Linked DNA regions of Lytechinus pictus. The protein of the gene in region 4 purifies or fractionates together with the protein of the main gene of each other region. This does not show direct contact. Links are inferred from orthologs where the notes say so. Each region holds a gene or a part of one and is shown on either strand. Other genes may lie near its edges.

Region 1 (7,434 bases), on a different chromosome or scaffold from region 4:
AAAAAAAGCTCTGAGAGAGAGCAAAGCGAACGAGCAACTACTTGCGGTACCAGTTTTCGAAAAATTTTCAGAGAATGATATATTTTCCTTTCCTTTTTTTTCTTCTACATAATGTCTTACGGTAATTTACAAGATGGACTAATCTAAATACTCCAACATTTTGAAGTCGCCTCAAACGTATGCACCTTGATCTATACATTAATTTAACCAGCTAGTTATATAAAAGGGCACATAGATTATCAAGGTTCGAATCTCCATAAAAAATCACAGAAATTGTTTGTTGTCCCTTTAATGATTCATCATCAGTAAGTTGTCAGATGAGCAGGATTAGGCTCATGCCCCCCCCCCCCAAATTTTTTTCAAGACCCCCCCCCCAAAAAAAATAGAGGAAGGAAAGAAAAGGAAAGGGATAAGGGGGAAATATGACTGGTAGTGATTTTTTACCTGATTGCTAAGAAAGCATGAATGCTTGTAAGCAAGCAACCGGTGGACCAACAGCTTAAAATCCTCTCCGAGGGACCTGGTAATGAGGATTAATGCCTTACCAAAGGGCACTAGCGCACCAAGTGGGAATCGAACCCAGGCCACTGGAATCCGAAAACCCCGCTCTACCGACTGAGCTATATATCTCTCTGAACATTATTTCAAAATCTATCACAAACTTGGATGTCAAAATTTTTGTTCGCTCGCTTCGCTCGCATGCAACTTTTTATTAAAGGGGAATCCAACCCAAATAAAAACTTGTTTTTATTAGAAAAAGAAAAATCAGACAAGTTGATAGGTGAAAGTTTGAACAATATTGGACAAACAACAAGAAAGTTATGAATTTTTAAAAGTTATAAATATTGGTAATCACTATACCCATGGAGACTTCAAATTGGCCGCATATGGGATGTCATAGTGATGTAAGGCAAGGACTACTCTTCCATGTACTCCAATTAATATTATGGCTAAAATTTCATTTTTCCCAAAAGTTTTATTTCAAATTATATTTTTCTTTCATGAGGACATAAAACAATATATTACCTGGATTATATTTAGATTACTGCCCCAGGGGATTGGGTACTTAGGAGAAAACCACAAATCCCTGATAATAAAGTACATGGCCTATGGGAAAGTTGTCCTTGCCCCTTGTCATAATTTACTTAGCCAGTTGCCAATTTGAAATCTACATACTATTAGTGATCTCAATTTTAAAGCAGCTATATAACTTTCCTATTGCTTGTCCGATTTCTTTCAAACTTTCGCCATTCTGTTTAATTTATTTTTCTCCTTCCCAACACAACATTTTATGGCCAAGGCTGGATTCCCCTTTAATTTTACACATACGCCATATCGAGCCCCCTCAAAATTTTGGCTCATTACGCCACTATTCTCAGAAACAAGGTAAGGTATTTCATGTAGCCTTAATATAACTTACCCTGCGAGCCCATTTTGGGGGGATATTTGTTATGTTTATACCAAAAAATTAACATTTTGAGCAGCTTTTCATGAACTAGATGCGTATCTACTAAACAATTCACATATGAGCGCGAAGTGTGAGCTGAAATTATTACCTGAAAAGGGACTTATTAATAACTGTTTACAGTGACTCATGAATAGAATATATATCTCACCAATCAAATAATACGAGCGCGAACCGCGAGCTAAAAATTTGTGAGATTCTGATTGAAAACTGGAGAGGTTAACCACTTTTTGCAATCAGAAATAGATATCAAACAATATTATATTAATGTGAGCTCAAAGCGTGATCTGATTTTTATTTAAATTCATACCTTAAAACAGTTCAAGCCCATTTTGATGAGAACATGGTATTAGAACGCTAAGCGCGAGCTGACTTGAAATACTATAGGACATTCAAAGCAATGTAATCATGAACAGGATGGGTGTGTATCTTAAGTTTACAATTGATAAGCATCATGAACAATATGCATATCTAACTAAACAGTACATGAGGGCGCTAAACGCGAGCCGAAATTGTTAATATATTGCAGTGACTCAGATGATAGTATGAACATAGAGCTCTTAATAGCTCCATGGTATGAATATCATATTGATACAGGGGCGATCCAGCCTTCGCCAATAGGGGGGGGGGGCGGAATTTATTTTCAGCCACATTTTCCCCGATCGGCCTCTCGAAGTTGATTTTTGTTTGTTTCTTTGAAGGGGTAGTACTAATAGTCACTTCTAAGCTTTATTCTTATAAATCAACATAAATATAATAATAATCTCACAATTATTTATTTTGCCTCCGACGAAGATTCTGCTAGGATCGAAAGCTTAGGCCCCTTTTTGACTTTCTAATTATTTAGATAGTGCGAGTGCGAAGCGCGAGGTATTTGTTTTTATGTCAAATATTTTCAGCTCGCCAAGCGCGAGCTGAAAATTTTGACATTTCTACCTGAAGAATGGAAATTCTATGCACTTTTTGTAATCGTGAAAAGGATAAGTATATAACTAAAAAAAAATTGATGCGAGCTCTAAGCTCGAGATTTACACCTAGAAAAAATGGCCGGGACACTAATGTTTTGTAAATCATGAAAAGGATCATTTGGTAATCTTCCTACATTAATAATGCGAGCGCAAAGCGCGAGCAGAAAATTTTTATATTGTGATCTGAAACTTGATAATGATTTGATTAGAGAACAACCTGCTTATCTGAATAAGCATGCGCGCGCGTGTTTCAGATTTCGACCTAGAATCTGGGCATTCGGCTTTTTTCTATCAATCAATAAAGCGAGGGCGAACCGTGAGCTTAAAGTATTTGATATTCCGATCTGAAAAGGGGTCAATTTATTGACTTTGTAGGAAAATTGTGAGGTGGATATGGATCACAGTTAAAAAAGAGCTGATATGTTTCATTATTACAATGAGTTTTGACCATCGGACATTCTAAGAACATTATGTCATATGAAAATGATGGCTATCTTCCTATTTCTCTTCCTAAGCGCGAGATGAAACTTGTCGATACTCCATTCTGAAAAAAGGGGACAGTTTGATTATTAAATTAATATCTTATTTATTAATCTAATAAGCCTAAGGAGAGCGCGAAATCTGTTAATATTATGGCCTGAAAACCTGACATTTAAAGCTCTTTTGTAATTTTGAGATGCATGAGTTAATATATTTTCAACAATCAATGCGAGCGCAAATCGCGAGCCGAAAAAAAAAAACTGTCATGAAATGGGAATTTTAAGTAGTTTGGTATAGAACTAATGTTCAGATATACATAACTCACCAATCAAAATGCGAGCGTGCAGCGTTAGCTGATACGTTTTGACAATCTGAACTGAAAAGGGATATATTGAGAACTTTATGGAATACAGGAAAGTGTCCCAAAGTTCAGTTCCACTACACCTCTTCTGAGAGAACTCCACTGGTTGCCTGTACGTCAAAGAATTTCATTCAAAATTCTGTTAATTGTATATAAATCATTAATCGGTCAAGCCCCACATTACATTACAGAATTACTCAAACTTAAAACCCAATCACACAGTCGAAGCCTGCGAAGTTCCACAGATAAATTATTGTTTCAGATCCCATTTCACAAAACAAAAGTCACACTTGGTGATCGTGCATTTGCACTTGCTGCCCCCAAACTATGGAATAGCCTGCCAATTGATATAAGAAGCTCTCCATCCTTGGCTCTCTTCAAATCAAAATTAAAAACATATCTCTTTAGTTAAGAAAATATGCTGTGTAGACATAAGTAAAAAGAGCTCTGAACAAGCGCAGCTGAATATATCCATATAAAAGCTGCGCTATATAAATTAATGCTTATTATTATAAATAATAGGAACATGACAAATCAATATTCAGACCATAAAACATAAATTTTTACCGAGCACTTTTTAAAAATCGATTTGTAAATAAAACAAAATAGTGAAATATTTCCGAGCTGAAATATGTTTTGTACACGTATATTGACTTAAAAATTTGATATTTTAAGCTCCATATTGAGCAGGATATGTAAATCACATAACAGGCAATGCGATCGAGCGAGCGAGGAGGAGGAGAAGAAGAAGAAGAAGAATGAGAAGGAGAAGAAGGAGAAGAAGGAGAAGAAGAAGAAGGAGAAGAAGGAGGAGGAGGGAGAGGAGAAGGAGAAGAAGAAGATTTGGATCATTTGCTGATTTTTTGTGTACAGGCTGTATATATAGGCCTATATTCCGGGCCTATATATTATAATTACAATTTTAAAAAATAACGATTGGTGGAGATTGTGACTTTTAGCATCATTTTTCAAAAACAAAATTTTCATATCTTGTTTAATGAATTTAATTTCGTTACATATATTTGCAGACTCAGATAAGATAAAATAAGATAAGATAAGAGATAGGAAACATGACACAGGGACACGACCTTCTCACAGGTTAAGTCAAAAGGACTTAAATTTTCAATTTTCCCCTCACGAATACCATAATGGATATTGTATGAGCTCGTGCAAGCTTTTCTGAAATAACGCGACGTCAAAAACCTAAAAAAACGCAATCATGGTAAGTTGAACAAAGCGTTTTCACTGAAATAACGCATTTTAGACCATCTTAGTAGTATTTGCGATAATATTAGATTTGAATATTTAGTTCAGGTTGCTAAATTGGTGTTTTAAATTCACAGAAGATGTGCATGTTTTTCACGAGTATTACTTCGGTCCCATCAATTGACATTCGTGTCTGAAGATCGAACCCGAGAAGTGCGAAGGCAATTCCATGACCATGGGCATGGCATGGAAAATGGTATTTTGACTTAAATTCGCGGAAAAGTAAAATTTTCCAATAGCACATTATTCCGACCAGATATGATATGAGAAAAATAGTAGTTTAAATACAAATACAAAAGATGTGCCTGGATCAGACATATGAATTATGATCATGATGATGAGGATCAGTAGAGGCGCTGCTGGTCCAAAAATTGGGATTGTCCCAGAAAACAAGGATATCCTCATAAACCAAGACAAATCATGTCTTGATAAATTGAGACTGTCCTTGTTTATGGGGACGTTTTTTTTCACTCCCCCCTACGGGACAAAGACGGCAATTACGGGAATTGAGAGTGCTAAAAATAGATTCAGTGACCTCAATTCCCCCCAGTTCACCGTCTATTTTTCATGACTTACTGTCTTCCAATAATCTTGTTATGAAACCCGATATGTTTACATTGACTAGCACACTTGATTGGTGTTGGCACTTGACAGGTGAATGAACTTTCCTAGATTTCTTGTGTGAAGAAATCCTTATAAACTTGAGACAGTCCCTGTAAACTGGGACGATCCCAATTTTCTGACCAGCGCCTCTACTGAGGATTTACTTAGAAAGTCCAACTCCAAGGCAAAAACATTGAAAAACAGTAGACCAAAAAGCTTCGGTCTCTGAATTATTGGTTGTTCCGCCGGATTCCGTTGGCTCCACTCACCAATTACAGAGACTGAAGTTCTAACTCGATCTGTACAGGGACTCAATGGCCATATATTTATGTATTAAGTTCACATGACATAGTCATAAACCACTCCTAGTACCAATGAGGTCCAAACATTAGCATGTATGGACCTCATAGGCGACAATGCGTTAAAAACAGGTTAGAACTTCTAACTGTACTGTTTCCTGCACCCAAGTATGATATTACTCCCAAAATATGAGTTTTGTCCTCGTTTGTTTATCATTTATTAAAAGATTGCCCATTAAATATATTCCTATTCCTAATTTGAATTTAATAAAATAAAGGGAAACTTACATTTGAGTCATTTTTCGATCTTTTTTTGGCAGTCAGTCCGGTCACCGTTGAGTGCGATCAAAGCGGTATGAAGCTGATTTTCAGATCACGTGATACGTGTGGTCATCACCTGATCAATCGACTATCCTTTTTTTAAAGACCGCAACAATTATAAATTTTATTATAAAATATATATAGAATAAATTATTGCATAATATTATGTATATTTCTACAATTAAAAAATATTTTGTGATATAAATTTAATATTTGACGTAAAAATCGCTATTGAACAAAATATTTATTAAAAAATAAAAAATCAAACAAAATAAAAAAGCCTTGGACACAGTGCAAAAAACCTAACGATTTGGCCGCGTTGTTAACAACTATCGTAAGGGGCGCTTTATTTATAAATAAAAAAAAATGTACAGCTGTCTACCGCGACGTGGTTTGTCGCAAGATTTGGGACAAATCCGTGGGAATTCTGGAGAAAATACATCAAAAGAACTGGTGAGTACCGTTTAAACATTATCAAATTACTAAATAGATTATACATACCTTGTAGATTTAGTTTTTAAGGTGATATTAGTGCTTAGTTCTAAGCTAGGGAGGCCCAAACGCGCGTGAGCGGAGTCCCACTTTATTAACACGGGTAAGTATTGCGGTGTCGCCTAGAGTGTCATAAACCAGTGAAGTGGGAGTCGCGCGACAGCCAAAGTAAGTCATTGTTTTTTCCCCTTTTAGTTTATTTTTCCCGTTATGGTGCATTTCAGGCCAAAACGGAATAATTATCTTTATTTTGTCCCAGTTCTTTTTATATATTTTTATGAAATACAGACAAAGATCGATGAGCCCCGTCGGGGGGGGATTTTGCATTGTTTACCCCCTAATGGCGGCTGCACAATCGCGAGCCGTCTGTGTACGAGGAGAAATTAAAAAAAATGTTTACAAACTCCACGAAACAGATGGCTGCCAGCTGTCTAGAAAAACAGTTGCAATTTTGACTTTCCAAATTCTTTTCAAAACTTTTCTGGATGCCAGCATGCAGCTGCAGCTCTGAAATTGTTGAAACGAAATTGAACTTCTTTCTAAAGAAGAAAAAATATCAAACACTGACATTCAGAGATAGCTTGGCCAAATTCAATATTTTGGTAAGCTAAGTTAGTAAGTAGTCCTAGAACCTAATATTATTGATTTTTTTTTTAAATATTCATTAAGTTAACTTAAAAAACTGAGCATGCTGAGAAATATGAGAAGATGGGGGAAAAACCATTTACGACCCCATCTTGTTCTCTTTGTTAGTAGCTTAGCTGCAAGACGCATCTAGAGGGCGGCATTTTCTGACCAGCAAACAATGATTTCATGAGAAAGTCTTTAAAATCAAGGTTAAATGCCGCCATAATTATCATAGATCTAGTTGAGTAGTTCTGGTACATTGAACAGTAGAGGCGCTGGTCCATAAATTGGGATTGTCTGAAAAGTGAGGAAACAAGGATATCCTCATAAACCAAGACAAATCATGTCTTGATAAATTGAGATTTTCCTTGTCTATGGGGATTGTTTTTTTTCACTTACCCCTGCGGGACAAAGACGGCAATTACGGGATTGAGAGTGCTAAAAATAGATTCAGTGACCTCAATTCCCCCCAGTTCTCTGTCTATTTCTTACGACTTGCACGTCTTCCAATAATCTTGTTATGAAACCTCATGACCCGTATTCTGAACTCGA
Region 2 (7,445 bases), on a different chromosome or scaffold from region 4:
TGATAAATTCCCCCAAATATTTAGAAATAGGGAATTTATTTTAATTTCATACCTTTGTTATTTCCAGGGTAATCTGTTGTTGGTATTTTCTTTATCAATCTGTCGACTGTATGCGCGGAGGATCGAATTATGCGGCGATGACCTTTTGCACTGAATTGCACTAGTATTCAACCTAGTGATGATAGATAGCGAATCTCAAAATGGTTTAGATCTATGTAAGTCTCTGGCTTTGACTAATCCCTGTTTGGTCTCATCTCAAATGGTCTAGTCCATAGTCGGATGGGACAAGAGCAGATTGAGAGACAGGGCCATCTTTCATCGCTAGGTTGAATACTAGTGCAAAAAACCATCGCCGTATAATTCGATCACCCGCGCACGCAGTTGAAGGGTTGAAGAAAAAAATAACGCAAAAAGAATAACCAGCATTTGCTATTGGAAATAAGACAGGTCCGAAATTAAGGTAAATTCCATATTTCTATATATTTGAGGAAACTCTCCAAACGGGTTGAATACTAGTGCCCTTACGGCATATGTTATTCATTATATATGTCATTTGCTTATTGATATGTTATGCTAAGAAAAAATGATTACTCTTGTATATACTTTTATTATTGGAATGTGGAAATAAATAAATAAAATAAAATCAAATGTTCAGTAATAATAGTAATAAATAAGAATGGTACTATAATAACTATAACAGCTATATATTGGCGGCACAAAAATGAAAAAATGAGAGAAAAGTGGGAAAGGAAGGGAAAAAAAGGACAAGGTAAAATAAGAGGAGGAAGACAAGTGAATGCAACGTGAGGGGAAGACCTGGAAAATATACATTTTTCCAGTATCATAAATTTTACGTGAGATCGTGCTTCGCGCTGGCATTGCCTGTTCGATGAGATACTGTACATCTTCATTATAATGGATTATAATGGGTGCAGTTTTAAAGTCAATTGTACTCGGACACCAATCTTTTATTCTTAATGGTTTTAAAAGGGATTTTAAAGAAGTGCTCAGTATAAACATGGTAAAATGTCCCGTTTTAAGGTTGTCTGAGTATGAAAAAAGATCAGCTCGCGCTCGCATTGTTTTATTTTGTGGAGTACCTATATCCTATTCATGTATACTTTGTTCAGGTCTGAAACAATTATATAAAAGATTAACCAAACAACAGGTGTAAATTAATAACAAATCACAAGAGCAACAGGAGTCGAGTCGGCAATATACACACGCACCGAACACGTATAGAGGGCTATTTATGATTGTATAGACTAAATTAATATTGGACGAAATGATGATTGACCAAGATGGCAATTGGACCTACGTGACTAGACCGAATGGCAATTAGACCAAATTGTCAGACGAAATGGGTTTATACTAAGTGGTCATTAACATAGACCATTTGCCTTGAGACCACTTGGCTAGTGGACTAAATGGTAATTATAGACGTAATGAAAATGGACAAAGTGGCTATTGGGCCAATAATATTGGGGATAAAGCAATCAGACCAAATGGCTATTAGACCAAAGTGATAATAGACGAAATGGAAATCCGGCTATTGGACAAAATGGTAATTGGACGATGTGGATAGTACGTAGACCAACTGATGGTAGACGAAATGACATATCAGACCATGCGGTGAGTGGACAAAATGGCAGTATAGACGAAATGGCAATGAACCGAACGTAGGACGGGATCACCTTCAGTGGCTTTTCTGCGCCTTTAATTTTTTTCTTTACCTAAGTTTTTACTTATTTTATTTATTTATTATTATTATTATTAATTTTTTTTTTTTTTGGGGGGGCTTTCCTTTCTTTATTTATTTTTAATTTTTGCTTTCCTTTTTTTATTTGCGTCCCTAATTTCCCTTTTTTTGCGCCCCCAATGAAAGTGGAACCGGGGTACGTGCCCCCTCCCCCTAGATACCCTGCATCCTGATGGCCAAGTGTGTATTTTGATTGTCACCATTGGCGTACCGTGGGTCACGGCATTGGGGGGGGGGAACCAGCAAAAATTTTGAGTCACTTAAAGAGCGCGCGAAGTGCGCTCAGTTGCCAGGTATACTGACATAAAAGAGACATTTTCAGGACAGTGTCATTAAACGGATATGTATCTCACTGATCACATAATGCGAGCGCGAAGCGCGAGCTGAATTTTTTTGAAATTCAGACCTAAAAAGGACATTATAAGCAAATTCTTGTAATCATAATACATACCTGTCTCGCTAAACAAACCATGCGAGCGCGAAGCGCGAGCTGAAATTTTTTTATATATTGACCCCAAACAGGGACATTTTAAGGACTTTATTTTAGGATTCCATTAAGAGTATACATATCTCACCATAGTCATCTATTGTGAGTGCCAATCTCTTGCTGATTTTGTTAGAATAATATACATCTAAACACATGAAGCACTTTTTGTAATCATTGTAATCATGGTTAACATACGCATCTCACTAATCAAATATTGCGAGCGCGAAGCGCGAGCTGAAAATTTAGGAAATTCAGACCTGAAGAGGGACATTTCAAGGCTTGTTTGTAGGAATTCACGAAGATCATACGTATTTCACTAACAAAAATATGTGAGCGCGAAGCGCAAGCTTAAATTTTTGCATATCATTGACCCCAAACAGGGATATAAGGACTATTTTTTTAAGGAATCCATTAAGAGTACATATCTCACCATAGTCATCTAATGCGAGTGCCAAACGCATGCTGATCTTGTTAGAATTACATGTAAATGACACATGAAGCACTTTTTGTAGTCATTATCATATACGCATCTCACTAACCAAATGATGCGAGCGCGAAGCGCAAGCTGAAATTTTTTGATATTCAGATCAGAAAAAGGGACATTTTAACGACTGATTTTTGGAATTCATGAAGAACAGACATATCTCACCAATCCACGAATGCGAACGTAAGCACGGACAGGAAATGGTTTACATTAAGACCTTAAAATGGGGCAATCACTTTAAGTAGTCATGAAATAGAAGCATATGTCACTACATAAACAATAATAATTCGAAGTGCGAGGAAATATATTTGGTGTATATTGACTTGAAAACGGGAGGTTTTAGTACAACAGGATTATATATCTTGTTAAACATACAATGCGAGCACCAGGAACAATGAAGACATAGGCCCTGCGCAAATTATGTTTCATAAAGTTATAATTTTTTTAAATGTAATATAACATAACATAATTATATAACATAATATAACATTATAATTAACAATAATTTCTTCTTTCCCCACTACGTTTCTTTCCCTTTCTCCCTCTTTTTCTCCTTTTCCCCGTTTTTTTTTGGGGGGCCAGCCGATTGGGGGGGGGGGGGGGGCACGTGCCCCCCATGCCCCCCCGTAGTTACGCCACTGATTGTCACCTATATGTTGATCGTACAAGAACAAAATTATCGAAGTTAACAAATTACGATGTTAATTAAGGTGATTATTTATTTTTTGTGAACAGTGTTTTACATTTTGCAATATACCATATTACCATGGATTTCTACATCCATGATATTACAATGATTTTGATAAAATACATGCATGTATAAATATTATGTAAAAAGATGATATACAAGGAATAGTTTGATCGGGGGGGGGGGGGCAAGACGGGATGTCATTTCTCATAAGTACTACGGTACTTAATTTAGGCCCGACCTTTCCTTTTCATTCTGTTCTTGTTTTTTTCCCTTTTCTCCCACTTTCCCCCCTTTTTTTACTGCGTGTATAAATAAAAACAGGGACAGTTACCCAGTCTCCCCCCCCCCCCATCATTTTGGCCCGTCGCGTCGGGCACGCGTTCTCGGTTCGGTCCCTTAACCGGTCGATCGCCCGCGTGTATAAATAAAAACAGGGACAGTTACCCAGTCTCCCCCCCCCCCCCATCATTTTGGCCCGTCGCGTCGGGCACGCGTTCTCGGTTCGGTCCCTTAACCGGTCGATCGCCCGCACACACCGGCCTCGGATCGACAGACGTACGGTGACTGACACACGTGCTGCACTAGACGACCATGGGCCGATTGTACGAAAGGGTCTTTCCAAGGACCATCTTTCGTGTCGCCCATCTTTTATGGTGCGCTATAAGCGGGGTATTTCTGAAATTTATGATAAACAAATAAAATTCGTAAGCTTGCTTTTGAATCAAATTTTATAGTATTTAATAAGATATCACATCATTTTATAAACAAATATTTTGTTTATTATAACGGACAAATAAAATATATTTGCAGATAATTTATTTGAAATGCGTTTCACATGGCGTATCATAAAAGATGGGCGACACGAAAGACGGTCCTTGGAAAGACCCTTTTGTGCAATCGGCCCCCGGTCTTGCGTAAAGTGACAAAAACTCAAAGGATAGTTAGAACTAAGGTGAGGATTTTTATCCTATGGAGAAGATATATGAATTGTGCCGAATTGGCTGATTATTGATGATGGTAGAGAGCGCGAGAGAAGAACAAAAATTAAGTTGTATGCCTTTCTCAGACTCAGTGTCTGTTGTCTGGTGATGCGGTGCCGGTGTAAGACCCGTGCCCCGTCTCCAGCGGCCTGGAGAATCTGGAAGGTTCGCTGACACCTACCTCGGGCGATGTTCGTGCAGGCTCCACACTTCACATCACTACCGCTACACTACGCTCCACCCACTCACACAACATGCGAGGTTAGTATACTAACCTCGCACAACACATGTGATTTCATAGTGCATTTTGACGTTTTCATTCATCACACGAATGTGAGGGACTATACGCCAAACCTTTCAATATTTGTCCACTATGTCATTGTATGTTAATCTTGATCGTATGGTTTAAGTTTATTTGAAAAAGAAATTACAAATTATTTATTAAAGTGTTTTTATCGCTTACCTCCAAATCTCAACCAGGATACTTCGCTCGGTCCGTCCTTAGTCATCCTTCGTACTGCGGTGGAAATTACGCAAACAACAATCGAAATGCGAAATTTTCCTATCGAACATTCTCGATTCAAGTCGTCGGCGCATAATAGGAAATTGTACCAAAAATCAACATAGTTCTCTATTTATTCAAACAATTTTTTCTGGGGTGCACTTGACCTTTAAGAGATTTTCCAATGAAAATATTACATGGAACTTGGAAATACAAATCATAATTTGGTTGAACAAAATGTTTTCTGTTAAAGTATAAAACAGAAGAGGAACATATTCACGTATTTTTATATCCAAAATATGTTGCCTTAGTATGGAATAATCACAATGACATAAAATGAAAATGGGTAAAGTACCTTCCTAATGATCGTTGAGATTTCGCCTATGGAATCATTGTTTAATAATTTTCAAAGCTTTAAATAGATGAAAATGTTCATTGAGAAAATATACATATATATATATGAACAAAATGATAATGTCCCGATTGTTTCGCATTACGTGTGTTAGATTGCGGGCGTTTGTGTGTGTGTGTAGGAAGCAAGATATTCGTGTTAATGTTTGCACAAAAAAGGAGAGGGAAAGGAAAAGGAAAAGGGGAGGGGGAAAGGTAGAGGAGAGAGAGGGAAAAGGAGACCATAAAATAGAAAGAAAACAAAGGAAAGGAAGAGGGGAAGGGAGAGAGAAAGAAAAATGGAAAGAGCGAGAAAAGAGTAGGGGAGGGAGAAAGGAAGCAAAAGAAGAGAAAGGAAAAAGCGATAAAAGGGAATGGAGGGGGCGGGAAAGGGAAGGAGAGACAATAAAAGACAGATCAGGGGAGGGGGAAAGGTAGAGGAGAGAGAGGGAAATAGAGACCATAAAATAGAAAGAAAACAAAAGAAAGGAAGAGGGGAAGGGAGAGGGAAAGAAAAATGGAAAGAGCGAGAAAAGAGTAGGGGAGGGAGAAAGGAAAGAAAAGAAGGGAAAGGAAAAGCGAAAAAGGGAAGGGAAAGGGAAAGGGAGAGAAGAAAAGAAGGGAGAACGAAAATGGGGAAAGGGAGAAGGAGAGGGGATGATGAAGGGGATAGGAAAATGTCAAGTTTGAAGATCTGAATATTAACACTAAAACAAAATTAGACTCGCATGTTTTATTTATAAAAATACCATCTTTTTCATGATTATAAAGGTTCAACGTCCCTGTTCTAGGTCTAAACTTCAACATAAATCTACTGGTGCTTCGCGCTTGAATTCTGGAGGTCATTCCTCTTTTAAAAGTATAGGTAATCTGTCGGACTTTTCAAATCCCAAATTTAAATCTTAAGCGCAAATGCATTATTTTTCATTTAGATACAGTCCTGTCATCAATATCAAAAACTCTAAGCGCGAGCTTCGCGCTGGTATCATTTTTGTAAGTGACATTTATGATGTTGTTTATATTTTAAAAATGTCCATTTGTTGAGGTTTAAATGTCCAAAAGTTCAGCGCTCGCATAATTTGTAAGGTAAATAGGCCTACCCTTTTAATTGTTATACAAAGGCGCTTATACAACGTCCAGAATGCAGTTCGGAATATTGAAAATAACTATTGGTCCCGCTATTTCTGCCCGTGCGACAAGCATTTATCATTTTGAATCATGAGATTCACCTTTAAAATATGATGAAAAAGTATCGTTAAGACTGAATTAAGAAAAAAAGAAGCTCACGTTTCACGCTCGCATTTTGATCCGTTAGCTTGTGATAATAATGGTGACTTCGTTAATATATCTTAGCGGACATGTCCACCTTTTGGTGCTTCAAGAAAAATAAACACAACACATAAATAATAATAGAAAACGAACAAGAATAGAATAGATAGTTACCTATCCCACTCATGAATTCTTATTTAACAGTCCCCAAAACGTCTTTTTTTCGTGTTAGCTTATTTCATATACATATATATATAAATATATATATATATATATATATAGGTCTCCTCATCATGGTTATAAAAAGTGCTCAGAATTTTTTATTTTCAAGTCCTTGTATCAGAATTTTCAGCTCGGGCAGCTCTATCGCATTTTGATTACTATCCTGTTGATTTATTTACTTGAACAAAATATTTAAAATGTCCAGCTTTTAGAACAGATATCAAAAAAAGGTATTCACCTTTGATCATAGATGAGGAAGAAGAAAAAAGTGCAAAAAAAAAAGGAAACAAACTAACGAATTAATGTGACATAATTTTTCTTCATTTCAAGGCGACTCTTTACATTTCATCATCGCTGATGGCGCTACAATAGAAAATACCGCTTGACAGCAAAAAAAAAAAAAGAAAGAGGAAAATAATGCTGAGCGTCTAAAATGCAGCTAGCAGGACAAGCTGCAGAACCGTAAACAAACATCTTGTGAATAATATCGCGCGCCCTCTTTAAGCAAAAGTTTACAACCACGATGACCCTGCGGTATCTACGTGAAGATCACGAGAAAATGCTTTTTTTTTCTTAAAAACACACCAAAGAAAAGTCAAGAAACGATCCATATGGTTCGGTAAGTGTCATAGCACAATTAGAAACATTATTTTAAAATGAA
Region 3 (7,691 bases), on a different chromosome or scaffold from region 4:
GAGATCTGGAAATAGCGAACTAGTTCGCTACAATTTGACACGTCGTATAATATAGACTAATACAAGGAGATGGCTGTATATAGAGGAGATCTGGAAAATAGCGAACTAGTTCGCTACAATTTCCCGTCGTTAAGAGGAGATCTGGAAAATAGCGAACTAGTTCGCTACAATTTCCCATCGTATGTATATACAGGAGATCTGGAAAATAGCGAACTAGTTCGCTACAATTTCCCGTCGTGTATATATATATAGAGGAGATCTGGAAATAGCGAACTAGTTCGCTACAATTTGACACGTCGTATAATATAGACTAATACAAGGAGATGGCTACAAATTTCGACGCTTATATATAAGCGTTGAAGATCGCTATATTTGCCATCTATAAAATACCGGTGAAAATGTAAGTTCCCCTTCATTTCTTTCATTTTTTGTTGTTGCTAACGATGCATTTACACTATAAAATTATAATTTAAATAAGAGAAAGGAATTATAGCTTGTACTTGTGATATAATGTTTAAATATCCTGTTCTCAGAGATTTCTAACCAAAAATACTACTGATGTCGCCTATGAGGTCCATACATGTAATGTTGGACCTCATTGGTACTAGGAGTGGTAAAAATGTCAGTTTTATGGTCTGAATATTAAAGTTTCTGCTCGCGCTGCGCGCTCGCAAATTTTGATTTATCTTGCAGGTATGGCAGTGAGTCCAAACTTCGCGCGTGTCCATACTTCGCGGACGGTCATTATCTAAAAAACTAGCCAATATCCTTAAAATCTGACATCAACGTGAAAAGCGACCTAAAATTACCCTTTGGTGTAATTTTCTTTAGGATGAGTTCAGTATTCATGAAAAGATCGTCAAATTTGTCACGTTTAGCGCCCGTTTTGAAGAAATCTGATATTCTCAACAAGCATCACGATATCACCATTTTGCAAGCAGAAATCATCAAAAATGTGAGTTAAAATGTGGTACTAACCGATTCTATAGCATTTTGCCATCAATCTGATATAAATATTTCACTTTTTTAGCTTGAGTTTTTGTTTAAATGTCCGCAAAAACTTTGGTCCGCGAAGTTAGGTCACACTTTTTCTGAACGGTTATCCAGCACAGCGCGCATTCGCCGATCGGAATAGAATTTTGAGATCGCGATACTGGCGAATCCCCTTGACCTACTTTACGTTTTCGTCCATGATTTTATAGTTTACGATCTTGCCGTCAATGTGGTAACTATTTTTTTAATTGGTTTTGTATAAATTATGAATATTTTGTGAAAAAAATTTAAGCCTGATGAATATTTTTGAAAAGTGCGCGAAGTTTGGACACCCCATCATACCTTTTATTTTCGTGTATTCCCTAAAATTTTCAAAATATCGCTCTTCAGGTCTCATTGTAAAAACGTATCAGCTCGCGCTGCACGCTTGCATTTTGATTGGCGAGTTGTCAGGTTGTGTTGTCTCAATATTGATTATACAACAAACTACTTAAAGGACAAGTCCACCCCAACAAAAAGTTGATTTATATAAAAAGAGAAAAATCCAACAAGCATAACACTGAAAATTTCATCAAAATCGGATGTAAAAAAAGAAAGTTCTGACATTTTAAAGTTTTGCTTAATTTCACAAAACAGTTATATGCACATCCTGGCTGGTATGCAAATGAGGAGACTATGACGTCATCCACTCACTATTTCTTTTGTATTTTATTGTATGAAATATGATATATTCTAATTTTCTCCTCATTGTCAAGTGATACAACGATTAATTACTCCCTGAACATGTAGAATTAGCATTGTTTTATACTATATGGTTCAGTCAAGTTGGTCCTTATTGTTAAATCTATAAAAAATGAAATATTGTATAATTTCAACAATAAAAAACAAAAGAAATAGTGAGTGATGGACATCATTGACTGACTCACCTAGTCGTGCATATCACTGTTTTGTGAAAAATAAGCGAAACTTTAAAATGTCATAACTTTCTTATTTTACATCCGATTTTGATGAAATTTTCAGCATTATGCTAGTTTGATTTTTCTCTATTTGTTCAAGTCAGCATTTTCCTGGGGTGGACTTGACCTTTAAAATCCCCTTTTCATGACAGTGTATAAAAAAATAGGCTCACAATTTGCGCTCGCTTTAATGATTTAAATATATTAACTTGCATCCTATTTATAATTACAAAAGTGCTTGGAATGTCCAGTTTTCAGGCCATAATATCATCAGATTTCGTGCCCTCATTAGGCATTAATGAATAAGATATCAATTAAATAATCAAATTGTCCCTTTTAATTGTTTCATCTCGCGCTTAGCAAGAGGAATAGGAAGACAGTCAATATTTTCATAAGATGACATGTCCTAAGGATGTCCCAGTCCTATAAAAAACTCTTTTCAGATCGGAATATCAAATAGTTTAAGCTCGCGCTCACTTTGATTTTCATGATAAAAGATTATTTAGAATGCCTAGATTTTAGGTCTAAATATGAAACACGCGCGTATGTTTATTCAGATACTCAACTTGTTCTCTTAATTTAAATCATTTTCCAGTTTAAAATCACAATATCAAAAATTTTCTGCTCGCGCTTTGTGCTCGCATTATTAATGTACGAAGATCCCCTATTACTCATTCTTTTCATGATTTACAAAACGTGAATAGAGTGTCCCGTTTTTAGGTCTAAATCTCGATTTTTTTTCCGCTCGCGCTTCGCGCTCGCATCGCGCTCGCATCAAATTATACATGGTTTAGTTATATAGCTATCCTGTTCACGATTACGAAAATTGATTAAAATTTCCATTCTTTACGTAGAAATGTCCACAAAATCAGCCATTTTGAAGCATGTTTGCCAATTTGAGAATCCCCATATCCATATAGGCATAGAAAGTATACCCAGTCTGCCAGTTGTGTGTCCGGACAGGTTGTGTGTTCGGACGATCAATTTTAGAAAGTCATTTGGAAAAATTTACAAGCAAAGTTTCATCATTTTTTAGTACAAAATGTTAGGAAATTAGAGAACAAAATAGAAGATGATTACAACTATTGAATTCTTTTTTTTTTCATGTAATCCAAAGACAAAAAAAGGCTTCAAAAATATAAAGTGTCCGGACACCCGACCCCCCATCCTACAAGTAGATTTTTCAAAATTCCATAACTAGCTGATTTCATAACCGATTTTGATGAACTCATTTTACTATTTCCAATAAGATTGCTTCTCTTCTTGGGTTTTGGTTTCCTTTAAAAGGGAAGTTCATGGTTAACCCTGATAAAAAGTTTATTGTAAAACTATAAAATCAAAGAAAAAGTAATGAAAAATATTGGTGAAGGTTTAAGTTAAATCCATCAACAGATCAAAAAAAGTTATTGTCTCACCTGCATAGCAGAGTAAGACTATATGCGCCGCTTTTCCGACGGCGGCGGCGTCAACACCAAATCTTAACCGAAGGTTAAGTTTTTGAAATGACAGCATAACTTAGAAAGTATATGGACCTAGTTCATGAAACTTGGCCATAAGGTTAATCAAGTATTACTAAACATCCTGCCTGAGTTTCAAGTCACATGACAAAGGTCATTTAGGGTCAATGAACTTTGGCCAAATTGGGGGTATCTGTTGAATTACCATCATAACTTTAAAAGTTTATGGATCTGATTCATGAAACTTAGACATAAGAGTAATCAAGTATCACTGAACATCCTGTGTGAGTTTCAGGTCACATGATCAAGGTCAAAGGTCATGTAAGGTCAATGAACTTTGGCCAAGTTGGGGGTATTTGTTTAATTACCATCATAACTTTGAAAGTTTATTGGTCTAGTTCATAAAACTTGGACATAAGAGTAATCAAGTATCACTGAACATCCTTTGCGAATTTCAGGTCACATGACCAACGTCAAATGTCAATGAACTTTGGCAATATGGGGGGTATCTGATGAATTACCATAATAACTTTGAAAGTTTATGGATTTGATTCATGAAACTTGGACATAAGAGAAATCAAGATCCCATCAAAGTTTCAGGTCACATGACCAATGTCAAAGGTCATTTAAGTTCATTGAACTTTGGCCATTTTAGAGGTAATCATTAGATTGCTGTCATAACTTTCAGAGTTTATAGATATAGTGTATAAAATGTGGATATAGGGGTAATCAAGTATCACTGACAAGTTTTAGGTCACATGATCAAGGTCAAATGTCAATGAACGTAGTATTGTATCATTATATGAATGGTGTTTTTTGTGAATAATTATTTTATAGTAGTTTTGAAAGTCAGCACTGCTAATATATTGAATCGAGTGATGCAGGTCAGGTGAGACCGCCAGAGGCATTCCACTTGTTTTATAAGTTTTTAAAGTTAAAATGAGTGATGTGCAGATGGGGGGGGGGGTGCTTGCCCCCTCCTCAATTTTTTCTCGACCAAGAAAAAGGAACAGGAAAGAGAGAAGGGTGAAATATGATATTATTCTTAAAATATTATGTCAACATCTGTTACAAAATTGGATTTTTGTAATTAAAATGTTAGATATCTTCGCTCGCTCACTTCATTCACTTGTAAGTTTTCAATAATTTTTCCCGATACACCATATCTGGCCCCCTCAAGATTTTTTGCACATTACACCACTGGTTAAATTCATAAGGGAATGTATTTTTTTTCTGAATTCTGATTAATTATTAATATATCTTTATATTACATAGATTCGCCTTGTCAAGGATATACTAGATGATCATGCACCCTAAACTCTCTACAGTGCTTTGACTTCAGTAAGCCTAACACGGTTACACCATGAGCCAACCATCAGGAGCAGTGAGAAGGGGTGGCAAGCCGAACAGGGGAGGAGGCAGGGCCAACCGTGGAGGAAGGGGAGGAAGAGGCGGAGGAGAAGGGAGAGGAGGAGAAGGGAGAGGAGGAGAAGGGAGAGGAGGAGAAGGGAGAGGAGGAGGAGGGAGAGGAGGAGGAAGAGGTAGAGGAGGAGGAGGTAGAGGTGGAGAAGGGAGAGGACGAGGAGGAAGAGGTAGTGGCCGTGGTGGAAGAGGAGGAGGAGCTAGAGGTGGTGGAGGCCAGCAGCCAGGGTCAAACCTAAAGCCCTATGGACCGGTGGCAGACACAGGAGCCAGGAAGTGCAAGAGTGTATCCATGTCCTATGACTATGATGATGATGACTTTGTACTCATGCCCAAACAGGACAAGCAGAAGACATCCAGGTAGTGTTGGAAAATATTATCCAATAGTTGTTTTGCAATACATGTATAAACTTGATTGACAATTGCTATTTGATTGAGTGATCTATCTTATATTTTAAATGAATTTCATCTAATTTTGGAGGTTTATTAGAATAATATGAAGATTCATATTGATTGTTTGAAATTTTGTGAAACAACTTTGATTGGACGTTAAACATTCAATATTAAAACAATTATATACAAAAATGAGATTGGATAGAATACAAAAATGAGATTGGATAGAATTTTGGATAGAATAAGTGAAGTTACTTTTTTGTGTATGTTTGATTATTTCTTATGCAGATCTGCAATTTCAACTTAAAATAATTCAGTCAATTTCAAATTAAATAAATGAAATTGAAGTGATTCATTACAATTTACACATTACTTCCATTGTGTTTTTCTTTTGTCACAGCTACCAGGCACCTCAAACTCACCAACCAAAGGCCTACCAATCTTATCAATCCAATGCTCCTAGTCGCAGGAGAGGCAACTATCAACCCTCCAAGGTCAAGATGCAGTCCCTCCATATGAGTGATGAAAACCAGGAACTAGTCAAGGATATCTTGAGGGAACTACATGGAGCAGACCTGGACCTAGACATGGGGTAGGATTACAGGCTAGGTGTGCGTGATACCTGGTCCCGATTAGAGCTATGCTGTGCCCCCACTACACTCATTGGAGTGTAGTGGGGCACAGTACACCATGTATTATTTTGTGGGCATATGATTGTCTATTACACCCTTCTTTTACACTATGGAAACCTTAAGAGTTTACAACCTATCCTGACTTTTGATTATATTTTGGGGACGAGGGAAGATCACCAATCATGGGCATCCCACCGAAGTATGGTAGGCCACACCAAGGGCAACCTGTCCCCTTAAAGAAATTCCTCACAGACTAATAAGCTGTGGAACCTAGGGCTACCTAGGCTCGTTATTTTCCTTACTCATTAGTTTAAGGCATGGTACATGAAGGGATGCCTCACATCTATGAAATTTCACCATATTTTTGTGTGGTGGTTAGTGAAATATAAATCACTATTTTTTGCTTGATTTATATGAATAAAAAAACAAAATCATCTTTATGTCCATTTTAGATAACTTTTGAAGATAGTGAGATCAGTTCTGTAATGGGATGTGTTTCTAAAGTGTCCATATCATGTAAAAAATTGAAGTTTGCATACATAATGAGATATGCAAATGAGGTGATGCATATTCATGATGTGTAGTTTGTGCACACAGAAAACTTGTTGTTGTTGTTTTTTAGGGGGATGGGGGATCTTATTAAATTTTTGTCTAGGTGATAAGTGAGATATTTGAGATGTGCCAATTTATTGTTCTGCAAATTTGAGGATAATAACAATAGAACTAAGACAAAAAACATAAACATCCAATAAATTGGAAGTTTCTAGCAACGCTCCAATATTTTTTATTCCCATTCTTTTTCTTATTTTTCTTTCCGTCTATGTTTATTTTGTTGACAAATCCTATTGAGAGGGGGAGAGGACGAGGAAGAAAGGGGAAGGAAGAGGGAGGAGGGTAATACATTTTAATGATATCACAGGGTATGTAAGATTAGTTATACTCGGTGACAGCCTGGCATTGTTAGCAACTACAATGTTTCTCGATGGAGAACACTCTGTAGAATGTATGAAAATCAAGGATGCAATATCCATGATCTAAGTACCCTGTTTACACACAGTCAGTAGAATATCCTGTACTTGAAATAATCACTGTCCCTTAATCTCATGCTTTGCAGACTAGAAGACTACGAAGAGCTTGATTATGATACCAATCGTCACTTCTGGACTGATGACAACTCCCTGAAGGTAGAGGCATCTGGTTCAAGCTTTACCCCTCTCGGTGTCTGGCATGAGGAAGAGGATGATAGAGAAAACAAAGATGATACCCAAAAGATCAGTAAATATGCTGTGGAGAAACTTATCAGGTTAGTTTATCATAGCAACACGACTCTTCTAATACCACTACATTTAACTTTATCTTCTGTGTACCAATCAGAGGTCAGAGTTCATGCTGTTTGTTCCTTTTAGCTTCTGTATACTTGTATTTGATTTGGTTAATTCTGGTCTTTGCTTCTTAATACATGTAGATGCAAGTAAAAAAAAATCAAGCATGTCTTTACTTGGCAACATTTGATATCTTTTATTTGTTGTTGGTGTTTAGGTGTGGATACCCTAAGAAAGACAGTCTGCAAGCATTAGAGGATAATGATGCAGATGCAGGTTTAGCATTGGAACAACTCTACAAAGATTTTTTGAAAAATCACTCGATATTGTCAGAACAAGGTGAGTCTGAAGAAATTCACTTGTGAGATTGTGGAAATGAATAAATCTTTAGTATTTCTTATCCTTTCAATATTCTTAATGATACATGCATGAGTTTCAATGTACGATTTGCTGTTTTGTTCAGGGTGCTACATAACTTTTTAGAAGCACTTGCCCGGTCGGGCAAGTGAATTTCTA
Region 4 (7,761 bases):
AGGGAGTCTCCCATCATGCCCATATTAATTGCCATGCGCCTCTCCCATGATGCAAATCAATCATGTAAAATTCAAATTCATTTATTTCACATCTCTTAAAAAACATATACGGTAGACCCTAGTAATTTTTCCTAGAATAATTGTGCATATTTAGTTTCTCCTCAATGGCAATGCACCCGCACACAACACATGCACAAAACTTCCACAAATCGCTTTTTTTTTTTTAACAACGATCTAAGTTCTAACTTAACGTTACGATTACTACACTAAGTTAGGTATGGTAAGATACAATACGGTACCGGTACCTTTCCTACTGTACTATCAGCCATGTCAGCTTAGTAATCCTTGGGCAGTTTCTGAAACCGTAAAATTTAGCTTTGATGAAGCGGACAATTTGTTCTCCTGACTCCTGTTAGAAATTCCAGTACAGCAAACATGCGGTATCGTGGAGCGGTCGGCGGCGCGCGGGCACGGGGGCGGAGTCGGAGGCGGGCAGGCGGGCATCCACGGCCGATATTCCGGCGCTGCGGCCGCCCGAAGAAAGGCGCTTGGTCAGGCAAAAAGGGGCGGGGCCCGCTGGAGGAGGGAGAGGGACGTGTGCAAAGCTTATCCAGGGACGTAGTGTCGTCTGCAAGCACTTCTCCCTCTTTTGTTAGCTGTCTTTGAGTTGTGGTGTATTAATTGGCAACCAGTCAAAAAAATGACTATTTTTGCCACTGCTTTGATTTGGAGCCTTCTTTGAGAGGATGAAAAGCTTCTTTTCCTTCATCTTTTTTTTTCTATTTCACTTTTTTTTTTTTTACTGGTTTTGGTTAGAATATGCTGTAAACTTAATTTTGAGTTCTTAGATCAGACTAGGCCCTTATAGGGAGTACTATATAGTACAGTGGCGTAGCTAGGATTTTTTTCCTGGAGGGGCACTGGGGGGTCCTTGCTTTTTCAGGGGGGCAACATTTTTTTTCTGTGCGTGTCACAAGGGCCAATCCGACTTTCGCCAATTAGGGGGTGGGCCCAAAATTATATATTTCCCCGATCGGTCACTTCTTAGCTTTAAACAATATGAGATTAATCTCATAAGCCCTATATAAAAAGTGCGAGCGCGATGTGTGAGCTAATTTTTCTTAAACTTTCATGTATTTTGTCCTGAAAATCTTACATTCTGGGCAATGTTTGTGATCCTGAACACTAGATAATTACTGCGAACGCCAAGCGCAAGCAGAAATTTTCAATAAATGTTCTGGCATGATCGAAAAGGGACCTGTTAAGGACTGTTTAATTATAGTTACACACGAAGAAGGTACATATTACAATTATTATGGGCGAAGTGCAAGCTAAACATTTTTGACATTCCAACCTAAAAAAAAATGGTCATTCTAAGCACTTTTCGTAATGTGAAATGGGATATTAGGTATGTAACTAAACAATTGATGCGAGCGCGAAGCGCGAGCGGAAGAAATTTGAGTTTTTAGACCTTAAAACGGGACAATCTATTCATATTTAGTAAATCATGAATAGGATATGGTTAATTGGGTATTATAATGCGAGCGTGAAGCGCGAGCAGAAAATAAAAGTTCTGATCTGATACTGGATAATTTCAAACACATTTTAAATAAAGAACATATATGCAGGAACATACATGACGACTCCCAGGACCAAAATCCAGTTAAAACCAATTAGGGCAAAACCAATTGAAACCAGTTGGCCAACTGGTTTCAATAGGGGAATTGGAACAACTGGTTCCAATTGAAAACCAGTTGCCAATTGGTTCCAGTTAAAACCAATTGGTTCCAATTGAAAACCAGTTGCCAATTGGTTCCAGTTAAAACCAATTGGGCAACTGGAACCAGTTGGCAATTGGTGTCAATTGGTTCCAGTTGTTCCAATTTCCCTATTAAAACCAATTGAAGGCAACTGGTTTCAATTGGTTCCAGTTGAAACCAGTTGGAGGCAACTGGAACCAGTTGAAACCAATTGGTTTCCAACTGGATCCAATAGGAACTTCCAGTTGGAATGAACTTAATTAGTTACAAATGAATTAGCATTTGCACTAACTATTGCTCATGCCAACACAGAAGCAGTGTTATATGTCTATTAATACCAATGTAAAGGGCATTGATAAAATACAGACTTTCATATATGTATATATTTATATGGAAGATCTTCAAATATATGTATTTTTATTTGATGTAATTTGGTAACAGTTAGTGGTGTACTAATTATCCTTTAATCTGTTTTAATTATAATCTATGACATTTATGAACATGGTTTTCACTGCTAAGTATTTTAAATACTTATCTTTAAAAAATGTGGTACTTGAAATTGAAAAGAATTAAATAGATACATTGTTAATGATGATGAATCTCATAAAACATTAATCTGTGCACACTGGCAGATAATATGCAAATTAACTGGTTTCAATTGGATCCAGTTGGGTAACTGGAAATGATTTCCAATTGGTTTCCAATTGGAAATCATTTCCAGTTACCCAACTGGTTCCAATTAGAATTCATTTCCAGTTACCCATCTTTCCTGTTAGAAGTCATCTCCAGTTACCCAATTGGTACCAGTTAGGATTTCCAGTTAAACAACTGCATGGTTCAAGTTAGGATTTCCAGTTACCCAACTGGTTCCAGTTAGAAATCATTTCCAGTTGGAAGTCATTTCCAGTTACCCAACTGGTTCCAGTTAGGATTTCCAGTTACCCAACTGGTTCCAGTTAGGATTTCCAGTTGCCCAACTGGTTCCAGTTGGGATTTCCAGTTACTCAACTGGTTCCAGTTAAAAATCATTTCCAGTTACCCAACTGGTTCCAGTTAGGATTTCCAGTTGCCCAACTGGTTTCAATTGGTTTCAACTGGAAATTGTTAAATTCTAGTTAAAACCAATTGAAACCAGTTAAAACCAATTGAAACCAATTGAAACCAGTTGGAAATCCAACTGGTTTCAATTGGATTTTGGTCCTGGGACTCCATATCACCCTTTTTAGCAAGACATGATTCTCATCGAAAAGGCAATCCGAGCGCGAAGCAACATGAATTTTTTTTTTCTTTTGTCTTCCCATTATTTTATTCACTCGTCTTCCTCCTCTTATTTTCCTCTTCTTCTTTCTTCCCTCTTCTTCTTTCTTCCCCCTTCTTTTTCTTTTCTTCTTTCTCCCTTTTTCTTGCTCTGCCAATTTTTTTCAGTGGGGGCACACCAAATCTTACTGGGCAGTAGTAGTTCTTTTTTTTTCAGAAGCTAATTTTCCCGGCAAATTTTTACTTTTTTTGTGTGTGTGACGAGGCAATTCATGGCGAGTAATATTAAGAGGTGCACATCATGTGGGATATACAAGTGTAAATTAGTAGGCCTATTCTGTTAAAATAAATGCATGATTTTGTAACAAAAACACTCTCCAAATCGTTTTGGTCCCGGGGGGCCCGGGGGGGCACTTATTCACGAGTGGATACCATGCGCGACCAAAAAAACACGTAAAAAGGATGTCTTTTTCAAGATAGGGCACGTTACGGACGTAACGTATTAAGGGTGTCAAAAACACTAAAATTAGGTTATCTATTTTCGCTATAGGAAAGCTACGCACGTGTTAGGGTCAAATTTGCGAGGGTACAAAAATGAAGACTAAAATGTTTTATAATGCCCCAAGGGTCAACTCTACTTGTTTAGAGTATGATTTGCGCGAGATGTGGGGGAGGTACGTGCAGTGGCGTACCTAGGATTTTCCACAGGGGGGGGGCAAAACCGTCCGCCAAAAAATTTGAAAAAAAAAAAAAAAGGGTCTTCGATCACAAATAAAGGATTTCGTACCAGAAAAATATTGACAAGCAAAAAAAAAAAAAAAAAAAAAAAAAAAAAGGTCTTCAAGCTCGTCAGGGGGGCATTGAAGGTCTTAAAGCTCGTCAGGGGGGGGGGCAAAAAAGGTTATACAAGCCCGTCAGGGCAAAGATACGTTTTTGCATGGGTTTTGACTCGTCAGGGGGGGGGGGGGGCAGAGTGCCCCCCCTGCCCCCCCCCATAGGTACGCTAGTGGGTATGTGGCAGGTGGTGCTGAACTAATTAAACCCAACGATGTCAGGTAAATTAGGTATAAAACAGAACTATCGCTGCGGTACTTGTTTAGGGATCCAATTCAGGGAATACTTGCCAAGAGTATCGTTTTGTTTCCAATACTTAATTGTTAAGTGGAAGTGCCCCCCCCCCCGGATTTTGATACAAAATCAAACGACTGCAATGATTTTGTTACAAAATAAACCGACAGTAACGATTTGGTAACAAAATCATTTGACAGAAATGATTTAGATGTTACTATAAGGCCTATACCCCGGCCGTGTGGGGCAATTGTGAATTGAGAAATGATATAACAGTCCCGGATAACAGCTAGCTTCTAGATTAGTTAACCCAAATTTATCCATATAAGATATATGCCAAGCCAATTAGATATGCATATTTCATTTTATTCAAGTTGAAGCAAGTATTTAGTAAAGTTGATTATTCTGCATGTCCCCGGTCTTTCCTATTTATAGTAACCTGTCACTTGGTCACTTCCCCCAAAGGACCCAATCGATGGGCCTCCTGGGAGGTTTGCCCCCCCCCATAAAGAAATGATTTCGCCGTGCTTGCCCCCCATGGGGGCCCCATCATTGCAAGCTCAAGAAAACAACACCCCCTCGGCCTCGTGTATGATAAATTCGGGATAAATTTCAAACTCCCAACAAAGTAACGAAGTGGTGTTACGTTTACGAACGTAATAAATAGCGTTCCATACTTAAAAGCTGTAAAAGAAAATCTTGCGTGAACACGGCGTTTGTCTCAAATTTCATCTAAATACTAGCTCCTAGACATATACTACGTGTATTTTGTTGCTGTATTCTAAAAGTAAGTACAATCATTTAGGTAAGAAACTTCCATACGGTAATCTTGTCGTGTGGGTGATGGAAAGTCGGACACTATTTACATTTGTTTTGAACTTATTGTCGCCTTGCTTGGCCTGCTGAGCTGGCGCTGGCTAATCGTTCAGCGTTCGTTTCTGTACAAAGTCTATGGGAATGGAATTATGGAAAGCTGTCAGTAGCATGCACTAATGATAATGAAGTCAGTGATCTGAAGTGAAGCCGAAGGCTGAAGCAGTGAATCTGAAAATGAACGTCGGGGACTGGTGACAAATTTCATGATAGCGGAAATAATGACTCGCCCAGTAGCGTATGCAGGATTTTTGAAAGGGGGGGTTCAAGCCGAATGAAATGTTGACGACCCCAAAATTTTAGGTCGTTTCCTTTAAATATAGCCACAGTAAAATAACATTTTTTTTCAAGACTTTGTCTTTGGGAAGTTTGGCTTGTCAATTTTTTTTGGGTAGGAAATTTTTACCCCCAAAAAAATTGACAAGCAAAAAATTGATTTCTTTCAGGGGAGTTTTGGGTTTAAAAATACCAAATGGGGGGGGGGGGGGGGGCTGACGTACGCTACTGGACTGGTCCTTTTGTTTGGCCATAATTAGCCAGGGATTGAAGCTGAAGTGGAGCCAGGGGAGGGAGCCTCGGTCCTTCCCCTCCCCCTAAAAAAAAAAACATTGAAAAAATACGAATCTATGAGCCTAATAGTCCACCTCCTGGAATGTTTTATATTTTGTATGTATGCAACTACCAAACACATAACACACTACCAATCCCATAACACACATACACACGCCCTGAATAGTCACATTTTTTCGCGGAAAGTGAATCAGTGGGTTAGGTGAATCACTGGTGGTACGTGAATCGTTGGAGTGTGTCATGTGTGTTGGTAAATGTGTGCGTGCGGGTCTAGATAGATGCAAAGGGTTTGCACAATCATTAAAAATCGTCCAGGACGTGGAATATGAGCCTAACAACCTTTGCTTCCTTTATATACTTCCCCATTCCCCCCCCAAAAAAAAAAAAATATATATATATTTATGCCTAATAAATGAAGGGAAATAGAAAGAGATAAGAGCTCTGACCCAAGAGGCCTACACATAATTGGTGGCACAAAAGACAGGAGAAAAAAAAAAGAAAAGGAGAAGAAAAAAGAAAACCAAAAAGTGGGAGAGACAAGAAAAGGAAGGAATCGATAAAAGAATTAGGAAGAAAAATTGAAAGGAGGAAGAGTGGTAAAGAAAGTGAGAGGAGGGGTTTGGCATATTTAGCAATCCTGTTGGGTCACATGCCAAAATAAATTCTGCTTATAAAAATGCTCTCGCTCACATTAATCATATCCTGCACGCTATGCTTACTAGGCACAATTCGTTTTTTTTTTTCAAGTCTAAAGAAAGAAATAATTCAGTTCACACTCGGTACTTAATTAGTTTCTTTTTAAAGATATGCAGCGTGTTCATTTAATGTCCTGCTTTCACGTCTGAATACAACAAAAATTTAGCTCAGACTTTAGTTAAACCCAGGTTTGGAATATGGGCCTGGCTGTCTGACTCTTTGAGTCTCACTCTGGATCATCATCATTCCTGATGAATAATTGACAAATTACCCGGGCGATACATTATTACTAGTTTTAGTGTTTTACTACCAATAATAATAGGCATTTGTATAGCGCCATCTATCTAGAAATAATCCATTTCGAGGTGCACTATTATTATTATAAATTATTACCCCAGCTTTAGCCCGAGCTACATGTACCTTGCAGCACTCTGCTTTCAAGGGCATAAACCTGCCTGGTGCCTCACCTCACCTGGGTTGAGTGCAGCACAATGTAGGTAAATTTCTTGCTGAAGGAAAACACGCCATGGCTGGGATTCAAACCCATGCCCTCTGATAGAAAGATGATTGTTTTAAATATTTGTGAAAATAAGAACCAAAAACAGCTCCAATAAAATGTCGCCCTAACACTATTCCTAGATATTTGATGGCAGTTGAACATGTTACCTCTCTGTTAGTTTGGGCTTTAAGTTCTAATTTTTTTTCTTCATCTGTACCATATCTGCAGGATGAAAGCAGATAAAGCAGAAGCAAAAGACAACTCGTCGCTTGGAGATGCCTCGATGGAGAAGCGGAGGAGAAAGCGCCATAAGAAAATCATACTTGATGTCAGTCAGCAGATCGAGTTTTACTTCAGCGATGCCAATTTGAGGAAAGATCGATTCCTGAAGCAAGAAATGTCTAAAAATAAAGATGGATGTAAGTCTGTGGTCAGTTTTAAAGCTGGCTCAAACGTTTGGTTAGGGTTACAACTGACCATTGTCGTCCATTTGACATGTCAATCTTACAGAAGTGTACTTAGCCATTGATTTTTTTTCAACCATTGATTCTCTCTGGAATTTCAAGCATTCCTTTCTCAGATATCTGATGCCCTCTCTCGCTGTGTTTTTATTTTTCTTTAAAAAAAAAAGCTTGAGCATTTTTTCAAATAAAGATTGTATCTTTTTATTCTCAAAGAATAAAAATGCAGGTTTTTTATTTGGATTTAATGTAGAATTGTAAAATTTATCCTGTAAAGCACAATTTCCTTTCCTCTCCGTCACATCATAAATGTTTTAGGGCAAACAGGAATTTGTCATTAAATCCACTGCAATGTATTGGGTTATAGGCTGGGATGTAGTCAAGACCGGCACTCGCCCCGAGTCACATGTTCAAAGTCTATGGGAAAAGGTTCTCTGTGCACAGCGACCTCATGACTCGGAAGCACCAGCATTGACTACTTCCCCGGTTACACAGTGGTGCTCAAAAGTTAGTGAACCCCACCTGGGTCCCGTAACACAAAGGTTAGCGATTAATCGTACACTTGATTTTCACGATT

Evidence for each region.
Region 1: the proteins of la-related protein 7-like (region 4) and protein LTV1 homolog purify together in Homo sapiens (affinity purification with mass spectrometry; 3 studies listed by BioGRID and IntAct, with this or other methods). This does not show direct contact. The link is inferred for Lytechinus pictus from reciprocal best matches to the Homo sapiens genes LARP7 and LTV1.
Region 2: the proteins of la-related protein 7-like (region 4) and ribonucleases P/MRP protein subunit POP1-like purify together in Homo sapiens (affinity purification with mass spectrometry; 3 studies listed by BioGRID and IntAct, with this or other methods). This does not show direct contact. The link is inferred for Lytechinus pictus from reciprocal best matches to the Homo sapiens genes LARP7 and POP1.
Region 3: the proteins of la-related protein 7-like (region 4) and putative ATP-dependent RNA helicase DHX57 purify together in Homo sapiens (affinity purification with mass spectrometry; 3 studies listed by BioGRID and IntAct, with this or other methods). This does not show direct contact. The link is inferred for Lytechinus pictus from reciprocal best matches to the Homo sapiens genes LARP7 and DHX57.

What each region holds. Positions count from the first base shown.
Region 1 is NC_087261.1:15,872,586-15,880,019, reverse strand, and holds the start of protein LTV1 homolog, read left to right. Parts: upstream 1-4,412; 5' UTR 4,413-4,493; coding exon 4,494-4,496; intron 4,497-7,434. UniProt on the Homo sapiens protein: Essential for ribosome biogenesis.
Region 2 is NC_087261.1:30,211,808-30,219,252, reverse strand, and holds the start of ribonucleases P/MRP protein subunit POP1-like, read left to right. Parts: upstream 1-4,437; 5' UTR 4,438-4,590; coding exon 4,591-4,662; intron 4,663-7,445. UniProt on the Homo sapiens protein: Component of ribonuclease P, a ribonucleoprotein complex that generates mature tRNA molecules by cleaving their 5'-ends. Also a component of the MRP ribonuclease complex, which cleaves pre-rRNA sequences.
Region 3 is NC_087251.1:25,962,700-25,970,390, reverse strand, and holds the start of putative ATP-dependent RNA helicase DHX57, read left to right. Parts: upstream 1-4,684; 5' UTR 4,685-4,769; coding exon 4,770-5,188; intron 5,189-5,621; coding exon 5,622-5,813; intron 5,814-6,018; exon of another isoform or gene 6,019-6,172; intron 6,173-6,967; coding exon 6,968-7,156; intron 7,157-7,392; coding exon 7,393-7,514; intron 7,515-7,691. UniProt on the Homo sapiens protein: Probable ATP-binding RNA helicase.
Region 4 is NC_087262.1:10,071,030-10,078,790, forward strand, and holds the start of la-related protein 7-like, read left to right. Parts: upstream 1-4,741; 5' UTR 4,742-4,872; intron 4,873-6,951; 5' UTR 6,952-6,952; coding exon 6,953-7,142; intron 7,143-7,761. Other genes in the region: alcohol dehydrogenase class-3-like, read right to left, coding at 306-329. UniProt on the Homo sapiens protein: RNA-binding protein that specifically binds distinct small nuclear RNA (snRNAs) and regulates their processing and function.